3 linked regions of the Callithrix jacchus genome follow. The protein of the gene in region 1 purifies or fractionates together with the protein of each later gene. This does not show direct contact. Links are inferred from orthologs where the notes say so. Each region holds a gene or a part of one and is shown in the gene's direction. Other genes may lie near its edges.

Region 1 (3,747 bases):
TTTGGGAATCAAGCTTGGGTTGGAAATGGAGGGTTCCTGACCTTGGGTCCCGGAGCGGGGTGTGGGAAGCCTCTATTTGACTACTCTATCACTGCCATCACCACCACCACCACCACCACCACCACCACCACCACCACCCGCCCCCCTCTTATCCCCCAACCCAGCTTCTCCGAGTGGGCTGGAGTGGATGAGGACTCCCCGCTTGGCCGTGTGCGGCGCTCTCTGGCTCACTTTCCCGCCTTCTGCACTTACAGGGGGGCGGATCCCCGGGGATGGAGTGGAGATGTGGGGCCTAAGATTTCCACCTCCGCGGAGAGACTTCACAAGCTCGGTATTAGACCGGGGTGGTGGGTTGGGTGGTTGTCACAGGACATAAGTAGTTTTATTCTTTCGATTTTCCGCTAGATTTTTGCTGAACCCACTCCCTTCATGGTGGAACGATGAGCGTCCTGGCTTTAACAGCAGAAGGGCCTCATTTCAGTGTTTCAGTTCAGGGTCAGCTTCTTAGCCTGCTGTGTTACCTTGGGCAAGTGGCTTTACGTCTCTGAGCCTCAGTTTTCTCATCAATAAAATGGCGGCAGTTAGGATTAAGCGACGTTAAAAAAAAAAAAAAAAGCACAGTGCTTGACATATACTAGTATTGGCTCTAATTGTTACCTTTATCTCTCTTAAAGAGAACAAAATTAGGATCCCTCTTCGGGGTGTCTTAAGTGCTTCCTGCATCTCCTCACCTGCCCAACTCCCACTCGTTTGTGTGAGAACTTGCTTCACCGAGTTCGGAGAATTTTCCACCGTGGCCCAAGGGGTCTGTTTTGCTAGTACAGGCTTTCTTTCTCGTGTGTGTGTGTAGAGAGATGGGGGTCATTTGGCAGATGTGTGGATCCGTGCCCTTCTCCTAAAGCTCCCTTTCTCTTTCGCGTTTGGGGATCTCCTGATGAAGTAGGGGAGGGGATGCTAGGTCAGGTATCTCCTACTGAGATTCTGGCTTGCCTGCAGGCATCCTGGTCTGTGATTCCCTCAGGAATGGAGGATACCCCTTCTTCCATCTTTCCTTCATTGCATGGTAGAATGTGAAGCTGTGGAAGTTATCAGGTGTTAGCTCTTTAGTAAGGATTTTTAGTCTGAGTGAGAGAAGAACTCTTGGGGAGATTTTGAGCAGGGGCACGGTGCAGTCTGACATTTTTTTTTTTTTTTTTTCTGAGACGGAGTTTCGCTCTTGTTACCCAGGCTGGAGTGCAATGGCGTGATCTCGGCTCACCGCAACCTCCGACTCCTGGGTTCAGGCAATTCTCCTGCCTCAGCCTCCTGAGTAGCTGGGATTACAGGCATGCGCCACCATGCCCAGCTAATTTTTTTTTTTTTTGTATTTTTAGTAGAGACGGGGTTTCACCATGTTGACCAGGATGGTCTCGATCTGTTGACCTCGTGATCCACCCACCTCGGCCTTCCAAAGTGCTGGGATTACAGGCTTGAGCCACCGCGCCCGGCCAGTCTGACATTTTTAAAAGGGATTCTTGTTGCCTCGATGTGTGAGACTTCAGGGTGGCAAATGTGGAAGCAGGCACCTCAGTGGGAAGTTCGTTGCCGTAAGCTAGGAGATGGTGTGGTGGACCAGGATGGGAGCCGCAGATGTGCTGACAGTTTTACATGCTTTTGAAGACAGAACCAACAGATTGTATGTGGGTATGTGAGCAAAGTCAAGGATAACCAAGGGTTTGGGGGTGTGTAACTGGAACGATGGAATTGCTGTTTTTGAGATACAGAAAGCTGCGGAAGGAGAGCAGATTTTAAATCAGGGGGGTTTGTAGACTCCCCTTGCTCTCTCCCCCCCCCAAAAAAAACTTACCGGAAAAGTTTGCGTGAACATGTGTTTTCTCGGAGGAGTGGGTACTTTTGGTACATTTTCCCCCAAAAGCTCGAGGACCTGAAATGGGTTGAGATGTTGTGAGTATCTGGGATTGAAAGTTTACACGCATGCCCACTGTGCCCCGTGCACATGCCAGCACTTCCTAGGACTCTTTTTTTGAGTCTTGCTCCATTGCCAGGCTGGAGTGCAGTGTCGCGATCTCGGCTGGCTCACTGCAACCTCCTCCTCCCGGGTTCAAGTGATTCTCCTGCCTCAGCCCCCTTGGTAGCTGGGATTACAGGCACGTGCGACCACACCTGGCTAATTTTTGTATTTTTAGTAGAGATGGGGTTTCACCATGATGGTCAGTCTGGTCTTGAACTCCTGACTTCATGATCTGCCTGCCTCAGCCTCCCAAAGTGCTGGGATTCAGGCGTAAGCCACCATGCCTGGCCCAGCATTTCTTTGGTTTTGAGACAGAATCTGTCTCTGTCACCCAGGCTGGAGTGTAGTGGTACCGTCTCTGCTCACCGCAGCCTCCACCTCTTGGGTTCAGTTGATTCTTGTGCCTCAGCCTCCCGGGTAGCTGGGATTACAGGCACGTGCCACCACGCTTAGGCAGTTTTTTGTATTTTTAGTAGAGACAGGGTTTTACTCTGTTGGCCAGCCTGATCTTGAACTCCTGGTCTCAAACTCTCCACCTGCCGGGTCTCCCAAAGTGCTGGGATTATAGGCATGAGCCGCGGTGCCCGGCGATGAAGTTCATCTGTAAGACATAAAGATAATACAGCGAACCTTCCTTATGCACTAGGGTTGAGAGTGGCAATAACATTGGTGATCTCTCCATATGGGATCCTTGTGGGGAGTGATCAGCACTTCCTTGGTGATCTGATGGATCACCCACCTACCTTCTGAACACAAAGAGGATGCTTTCTCCTTGCGGCCCGGCCCGCGGTTTAAGAATCACCAGCAGGTGGCGCTCATTTAACATTGATTGAGTCCATACTTTGTGCCAGGTGTTGTGCAGGGCTCTGGGGATGTGGTGCTGACGAAACAAAAATCTGCCCATTTGTAGCTTGAGCCCAGTGGGGGAGGCAGGTGTTAATAATATTACAAATGCCACGTGGGATAATTGATTTGAAGGGAAATAAATCAGGTTAAGGAGGTGTTAATAATATTACAAGTGCCACATGTGATAGCTGATTTGAAGGGAAATAAATCAGGGTAAGGGTACGGTGGCCAAAGTAGGCACTTCTGAGGAACTAACATTTCATCAGAGACCAGAATGCAGTGAAGGAGCGAGTGAGCCGTGCACATGTCTGCAGGAACCGGGCAGTGAGTGGGAACAGCGCGTGGTGAAGATTTAGAGGCTGGACTGTGTGTGCTTGGTGGGGAAGAGCATGGGGCCCAGGATCGAGAGAATGAAGTCGGGGAAGTTAGCACAGGCCAGATCCCTAAGACGATGATTCTCAACTGGAGTCACCTGGAGAGCTTTAGGAAGACCTTGTGCCCAGAACAATGAAATCAGAATTTAAAGCCTAAAGGTTTTAGGCTTTGATTTCAGGCTTTGTAAGCCAGGGAAAGGCATTTTTAAATTTCATTTTGGATGTGGTGGAAAACCATGGGAGGGATTTGGGTAAGGATGTGATGAGATCTTGCTGTTTTAAAACAGCGCTTATTAGCTGCTGTGTGAAAACTGGGCAGTAGAGGGCGTAGAAGATACAAAGTAAACTTTTGATTATGTTTGGGAGCTTTGAAAATGAAAACCATTCATTTTTAAAGATTAAATTAGGAATAGCTATTAAGAGATACACTTTGGCTGGGCGTGGTGGCTCACGAGTGTAATCCCAGCACTTTGGGAGGCCAAGGCGGGCAGACCACCTGAGGTCAGGAGTTTAAGA
Region 2 (3,747 bases), on another chromosome or scaffold:
AAATCCCCTTAGAGGCCAGGCGCAGGGGCTCATGCCTATAATCCCTGCACTTTGGGAGGCCGAGGCGGGTCGATCACCTGAGGTCTGGAGTTCGAGACCAGCCTGGCCAACATGGTGAAACAATCCCATCTCCACTAAAAATGCAAAAATTAGCCGGGCGTGGTGATGGGCACCTGTAATCTCAGCTATTCGGGAGGTTGAAGCAGGAGAATCGCTTGAACTCGGGAGAACGAGATTGTAGTGAGCCGAGATGGTGCCATTGCACTCCAGCTTGGACGACAAGAGCAAAACCGTCTCAAAAATAAAATTTCCTTAGAATGACTTTAAAATGTACCAGCGGATATACTACTTAAGTGTAACTAGGTTTTGGATTTATAACGTTAATATTAATTGTTAAAGCAAAACCCATTTCTAAATAGTCGCCTGAGCGCCCCAAAGACGCCCTCGAGGACAGGGAAGCAGCTCCGATTATCTCGGCGCTCACCGGCGCTCAGAATTCAGGGCTGCTCAAGCGGAAGAGCAACACGTGGCCAGGCAAAAGGAGCTGGGTCCCGTGCAGAAAAGGAACAAGAAACTGGCCTAGGAAGACGTTGGAGCATCTTTCGCACGTTACTGCCTGTCACCGTCATTTTTTAAAATGATAAATAAAATTAAGAGTACGAAGAAAACTGCGCGAGCCACTTTCCCAGCAGGATCTGCGCCAGAGCGCGCCAGGTACTACTCCTGTACCGTGGGAGAAGAAAGGACGCGCGGCCCACCCGGCGCCGTGGAGGCTCGTCCCCGAGTAAGGGACGGGAACTGATGGGTCCCAGGGACGAGGGGCGCAGGGTCTAAGGCCCGAGGCTACGGGCGCAGCAGGAAGCCGGTTAGGCAGCGGTGCCGGTCTGGGATGGTCACCACGCCCCACGCGGAGCCTCCCGCCCTAACTTCGTCCAGCTCTGCTGCCCGCAACTTTTATGACGGGAAGCTTAAATGAGGAGAACATCAGGAACTGGACTATTATCCCGAAAGCGCCTTTCCAAGTCATTGCACGGCCTGCAAGGCCCCACCCGGGGCCGCGCGTCCCCGGCAACCGCGCCTGCCCGCGCAGCTGCAGAGGCCGGGAAACGCCTGCTCGCCCGCGCTAGGTGCCACCTCGCCCGCGCTCCGGGCGATACCATCCCGGGCGGCCCCTCGGAAGGCCGGAGATGGTACCGTCCCTGATCTCCGATTGGCCCGCCGGACGCGGGCGTGGCCTCTAGAGTCTGGTTCCGCGCGCCGCAGCGCGCTAGCCGCATTGCGAGCTGAGCCGGGAGCGGGCGCCATGGTGAGGAGTGGTTGCGGGGCATGGACGACGTGTAGGTGGGGGTTTGGGCCTGGGTTCGAGCCAGGGCCAGAGCCAGAGGCTGGGCCTGGGTCTGCGCTTTCCTTGGGAACGGGTTCTGGCAAACACGGAGGTTGCGCTGACGCTCGCGCCGCGGCCCCGGTTGCAGGTGCTGTTGCACGTGCTGTTTGAGCATGCAGTCGGCTACGCGCTGCTGGCGCTGAAGGAAGTGGAGGAGATCAGTCTGCTGCAGCCGCAGGTGGGTGAGATACGTGGGATCCTCCGGTGTCCCCGCCGACCCTCACCGCACAGGTCCCAGCATGCACCGCGCGCTCCCACGTGGTCTCCGCGCGGTTCGGTGGGGGAAGAGGGGACGGGCCTGGAAAACTCTAGAGCCGGGGGTCTTTACCTTGACTCATGGGTAGGATCGCTCTAGCGGTTTGAAATAAGCCTCCTGGACTCCGCCCCGGACCGATTAAAGCAGAAGCTAGGATGTGGGGCCCCGGTATCAGCCTATTTAAAGAGCTTCCAAGATTGAGAGCCGCTGCTTTACTTACTGCGCCGCAGAGGCAGGAGGGAGGGAGGAAACTACTCAGCCTCCTTATCCCCCCAGGTGGAGGAGTCCGTGCTCAACCTGGGCAAATTCCACAATGTCGTTCGTCTGGTGGCCTTTTGTCCCTTTTCCTCGTCCCAGGTTGCCTTGGAAAATGCCAATGCCGTGTCTGAAGGTGAGTCGACCACCGCCAAGTGTCTCAGGGAGATGTGGTTCCTTCCGGTATCCTGTCGGGCGGCATGTGATAGTATTTGCTGTCGTTTGCTAGTTCCAAGTATGATAGATATGAGGCAGTGTTTGAAACATACAATATGTAATTGGAAATCATGGTCTTTACAGAGCTCAAGGTCTGGAAACTGTAATAGACTAAACCATTTAAAGCAGGCGATGTAGGATATGTGTTACGTTTCCTTGTGGGCACTGTGATTTTTTTTTTTTTTTCTTTTGAGACAGAGTCTTTCTCGCCCACGCTGGAGTGCAGAGGCGCGATCTGGACTCAATGCAAGGTTACCAGGAATATAAAAGATATTTGTTACTTCTGGGAAGGCCTTGTGCTTGTGCTTACCTCCGCCTCCCGGGTAACTGGGATTACAGGCCTATGCCACCACGCCTGGACAGTTTTTTGGGTTTTTAGCAGAGGCAGGGTTTTGCCATGTTGGCCAGGTTGGTCTCCAATTCCTGACCTCACGTGAGCCACCCACCTCTGCCTCCCAAAGTGCTAGGCGTGAACCACCACGCAGTGCGCCCGGCCCTCTCCATCTTCCCGCCCTGCCCCCTCCGGACGTCTGTCGCTCAGGCGGGAGTGCAGTGGTGCGATCTCGGCTGAGGGCACCCTCTGCCTCTGAGTTCAAGCCATTGTCCTGCCTCGGCCTCCTGAATGGCTGGAATTACAGGAGCACACCACCATGCCCAGCCAATTTTTGTATTAGTAGGGAGGGAATTTCACAATTTTGGCCAGCCAGTTTTGAACTCCTGACCTCAGGTGATCCGCCCTCTTCCCAAAGTGCTAGGATTAAGGGTGTGAACCACCGTGCCCGGCTGACAAATAATTCTTAAAGGAGGTTGGTTTAACACTTTATCTGGGACCCGAGTTTACCTAGACACAATGAAGTGTGTGGTTCTCTGCTTTCTATTTGATTGGAAAGGGCAGTTGGATAAACACAGGCTAAGGAAAAAAGGTTTGGTTCCAGTAGGCAAATTCTAATACTAAATACTTGAGGTTGTGTTACAAGCTATTATTTATTGCACACTTGTGCTATCAGACCTGAGTACAGTTGTTCCCATGGCTGGGCCAGGCTTTGCAGTGATGACTTGGTAATCAAATCTGTCAATCCCCTGAGTGCAATCACTGATGTCTCCATGTCTCTGAGCAGTGCCTGATGGGGAGTTTCTAGGTGGCAGGACCAGGGTATCGGCTGAGGGGATGTTACAATTGATCATCCTTTAGCCTGTTAGTGGGAACTGTGTTTTTTGCCTTGAGGGGTTGTTCATGAGGACCTCCGCCTGCTCTTGGAGACCTACCTGCCGTCCAAAAAGAAGAAAGTACTCTTGGGAGTTGGGGATCCCAAGATTGGTGCTGCAATACAGGAGGAGTTAGGGTACAACTGCCAGACTGGAGGCGTGATAGCTGAGATCCTGCGAGGTGAGACCATCATCTTATATTCCTGGTAACCTTGGCGTTTGGGGGGAGGGGGGTTCCAGAAACTCGGATATTTGTTACTTCTGGGAAGGCCTTGTGCTTGGCTGGTTCCCATGGGTGCAGAAGCTAGCTCAGAGCCCTTTGTTGCTTATAGTCCTGCCCTCCTCTTAGGAGTTCGTCTGCACTTCCACAATCTGGTGAAGGGTTTGACCGACCTGTCAGCTTGTAAAGCACAGCTGGGCCTGGGACACA
Region 3 (3,747 bases), on another chromosome or scaffold:
GAAAAAAATCAAGTAGGTTCAGGCTTTTGTTTGTGTAGAAATAACTACAGAAAGCTCTTGTACATAATGCTCAAGTTTGCACCCGATGATCAAATCCATTAAAAACTAATCTTACATGATGTGTGTGGCTCGTTTTCTGAATCTCCTTTCCGTTATTCATTGAAAATTGTTTAGAAAATAGCTTTTCTTTTCTTATAAAGGTGTCCTGTGACTCAGGAGTGTTCAGAAGATATTAAGTGTTAGTCTTATCATGAGTTAGTAAGCCATACCTTCTTGGTAGCTTATATGTCCTGTGTATCCTGAGAAGGTGGGATTCTTGGTTCTTAATCTAAATCTGAACCCCCTCTTTGGGTTATATGAATTTACTTGAGCCTCTCACAGAACTCAGGGAAACACATTTACTGGTTTAATGTAAAGGATATGACCGAGGATGCGGATAAGGAGATGAGCTCCCCTCCCAGGGCTACAGCCCTCCAGGAACCTCCAAGTGTTTAGCTCTCAGAGGCTCTCCAAACCCTGTCCTCTTGGGTTTTTATGGAAGCTTCCAAACTTCAGCATCTCTTTCCCCAAGGTATAGGGTGGGACCTTCTCTGGGGAGGGACTTAAGACCCACAATCAGAAATGTGGGGGGAGATGAGAGTCCCGCTATGGGGCCTGTGAAAGGGGAGGAGGAGGGGAGAGAGATTCTATTCTCTGAGGCCTAACACACCCAACATTATCACAGAACACTGTAACAAGGGCTGTGAGAGTTAAGAGCCAGGAACTGTGGATGAAAACCTATACACACACACACACACACACACAGTGGATGAAAACCTATACACACACACACACACACACTGGATGAAAACCTATACACACACCGTGACACCACAGCCTCCCAGGAACTGTGGATGAAAACCTACACACACACACACACACTGGATGAAAACCTATACACACACCGTGACACCACAGCCTCCCAGGAACTATGGATGAAAACCTACACACACACACACACACACACACTGTAACACCACAGCCAGGAACTGTGGATGAAAACCTGTACACACACACACAGAAACACCACAGCCTCCTAGAGGAAAGTGACCGTGTAAGGGTCTGGTAAGAGCTGAGGGGAGACAAGAGTGCATTCCACGCAGCCCAAAAACGGTGTGGCTTGAGACCAGTAGATGGAAAATGTCTAAGCAGCCACCGAAGGGAATTAAACAGCTTCGGACAGCGGCCTCAGGCTAACGCAGCAAGAAAGCTCGCGGAAAAAATTCGAGGCTTCCCGGGCTATACCGGAGGTCTCCAGCAGAGGGCGCGATTCCTCCCACTGGCCTTAGGTCTTCAGAGCGCCGGCGCGGGAAGCGCTTCCTGACGGGGCGGGGCTTCCGGCAGCGGGCTAGGTCGCGGGGAGCCTAGAGTTGGGTAGTCCTTTGCGTCTGCACGTGTTCCTAGTCCTCTCCGCGATGCTGCCTCTGCTACGCTGCGTGCCCCGTGTACTGGGCTCCTCCGTTGCCGGCCTCCGCGCCGCGGCTCCCGCCTCGCCTGCTTCGCCATTCCGGCAGCTCCTGCAGCCGGCGCCCCAGCTCTGCGCCCGGCCCTTCGGGCTGCTCAGCGTGCGCGCAGGTTCCGAGCAGCGGCCGGGCCTCCTGCGGCCTCGCGGGCCCTGCGCCTGCGGCTGTGGCTGCGGCGCGCTGCACACCGAAGGTGAGGTTCATGCTCGTGGGCCAGGGCTGTTGTTGGGGTTTGCGGTCTACGAAAGAAAAACGTAGACCAGGAGTGGCGCCTGCAACCGACCTCCGAGATCTGGGACATTATTCCATTGATTGGCAACCAGCGGGTTAAACCCACGTGTGATCATATTTCCCCACCTCGCCTTTCCACAAGTTTCATTTTCTGTTGGAACGGGGTAGATAAATACTAGAGGGTACCTCTATCCTTAGCTTTAGTCTCTCAAAAGTGGACCTTTGGGAAAGCCCAAGGTCGTGATTGAAAATAGCATAGTTAAATCGTTTGGCAGTGGAAGAGGATGCCTGGAAGTTCTTCTGCTTTACAACAGAAGGTGGCAATGCGTTCGCTGTTGGACGTCCTTAGCTTCGCAATACTATTGTGTTATTTTTACAGATAAGGAAACTGAGGCTTCCAGAGTAAGCATAATAGCAGAGATTAGAAACAGGCCAGATTTCTGGCTACAATAACTTGGGTAATAATTTTATGTTTTAGACTAACTGGCTTCCCTTTTAATGTATCTGGATTTCTAGGAGACAAAGCTTTTGTTGATTTCCTGAGTGATGAAATTAAGGAGGAAAGAAAAATCCAGAAGCATAAAACCCTCCCTAAGATGTCTGGAGGTTGGGAGCTGGAACTGAATGGGACAGAAGCTAAATTAGTGCAGAAAGTTGCTGGGGAAACGTAAGTACTGGTCTGGGGATTCCAGGGCACCAACTCCATTACCCTGCAAGACCCGTCGTGGATCATCCCCAGAAGAGCCTTGAGTTCAGGTGTGGATTCTTTGATAAATGGTTTTCAAGCGAGTGAAGGATTCATTTGGACAAATTTATAAGTTCCAGATAGTTGATTCACTGAACACAAATTTGCTGTGGGCTGATTACTAAGGAGACAAAAATGAACACAAAAAAGTACTGGCAGAATCAGATTGATCTCTGGTTTACAGCGCCAGTAAAGTAGGACCCTGGTCTCTTAATGTCCAGAGTGGGTGAAAATGCAACATGTAACTTCTGTGTAACAGAATGGGGTTACACTGTAGTCAGGGCTGCCATCAGAGGTTGGGAGTTTGTGACCTAAGGCAGCTCTCCCACCTTCTAAGCTAACTGTTGAAGTGTTTACAATTTTTTTGCATTATAGTCATCCATAATCTTATTACACAGATAAACACTTAGTATCTTCCAGGTTTTTAAAATTGAATTATTTTATAATAGACCTTATGATGTATATATAACTTTTTTTTTTTGAGAGGAGTTTGGTTCCTGTTGCCCAGGCTGGAGTGCAATGGCATGATCTCAGCTCAATGCACCCTCTGCCTCCCAGGTTCAAGCGATTCTCCTGCCTCAGCCTCCTGAGTTAGTTGGGATTACAGGCATGCGCCACCACACCCAGCTAGTTTTGTATTTTTAGTAGAGACAGGGTTTTGCCACGTTGGTCAGAATGGTCTTGATCTCCTGACCTCATGATCCGCCCACCTTGGCCTCCCAAAGTGCTGGGATTACAGGTGTGAGCCACCTCACCCAGCCTTTAATTATTTTTTTAAGTGACAGCTTTAATGAGATTTAATTTATATACCATAAAATTTACCCATTTATTGAAGCTTATTAAATTGTTTCTTAGTCCTCATAAAATTATGCATCAGATACCACTAACTAATTCTAGAACATTATTGTCATCTCCAAAGAATACCATTAGCAGTCACTCCTGATTCCTCCATCTAGCCACTGCAGGCAATCACTAATCTACTTTCTCTATAGATTGCCTCTTTTGGTCATTTCATATAAACAGAGTCCTACAATATGCAGCTTTCTCCCTACCCCATGGAGTCTTGCTCTGTCATACAGGCTGGAGTGCAGTGGCAGGATCTCGGCTCACTGCAACCTCTGCCTCCTGGGTTCAAGCAATTCTCCTGCCTCCGCCTCCTGAGTAGCTGGGATTATAGGCGCATGCCTGGCTAATTTCTGTGTTGTAGTGTTGGCCAGGCTGGTCTTGAACTCCTGACCTCATGATCTACCTGCCTAGGTCTCCCAGAGT

The links.
Region 2: the proteins of FBL (region 1) and NOP56 purify together in Homo sapiens (affinity purification with mass spectrometry; 6 studies listed by BioGRID and IntAct, counting the BioPlex papers as one, with this or other methods). This does not show direct contact. The link is inferred for Callithrix jacchus from reciprocal best matches to the Homo sapiens genes FBL and NOP56.
Region 3: the proteins of FBL (region 1) and C1QBP purify together in Homo sapiens (affinity purification with mass spectrometry; 4 studies listed by BioGRID and IntAct, counting the BioPlex papers as one, with this or other methods). This does not show direct contact. The link is inferred for Callithrix jacchus from reciprocal best matches to the Homo sapiens genes FBL and C1QBP.

The regions. Positions count from the first base shown.
Region 1 is NC_133523.1:35,086,394-35,090,140, forward strand, and holds the start of FBL (rRNA 2'-O-methyltransferase fibrillarin), read left to right. Parts: upstream 1-1,373; 5' UTR 1,374-1,598; coding exon 1,599-1,683; intron 1,684-3,747.
Region 2 is NC_133506.1:10,184,011-10,187,757, forward strand, and holds the start of NOP56 (nucleolar protein 56), read left to right. Parts: upstream 1-1,275; 5' UTR 1,276-1,303; coding exon 1,304-1,306; intron 1,307-1,472; coding exon 1,473-1,562; intron 1,563-1,916; coding exon 1,917-2,031; intron 2,032-3,154; exon of another isoform or gene 3,155-3,229; intron 3,230-3,336; coding exon 3,337-3,498; intron 3,499-3,666; coding exon 3,667-3,747. UniProt on the Homo sapiens protein: Involved in the early to middle stages of 60S ribosomal subunit biogenesis. Required for the biogenesis of box C/D snoRNAs such U3, U8 and U14 snoRNAs. Part of the small subunit (SSU) processome, first precursor of the small eukaryotic ribosomal subunit.
Region 3 is NC_133506.1:106,968,581-106,972,327, reverse strand, and holds the start of C1QBP (complement component 1 Q subcomponent-binding protein, mitochondrial), read left to right. Parts: upstream 1-1,361; 5' UTR 1,362-1,454; coding exon 1,455-1,695; intron 1,696-2,249; coding exon 2,250-2,400; intron 2,401-3,747.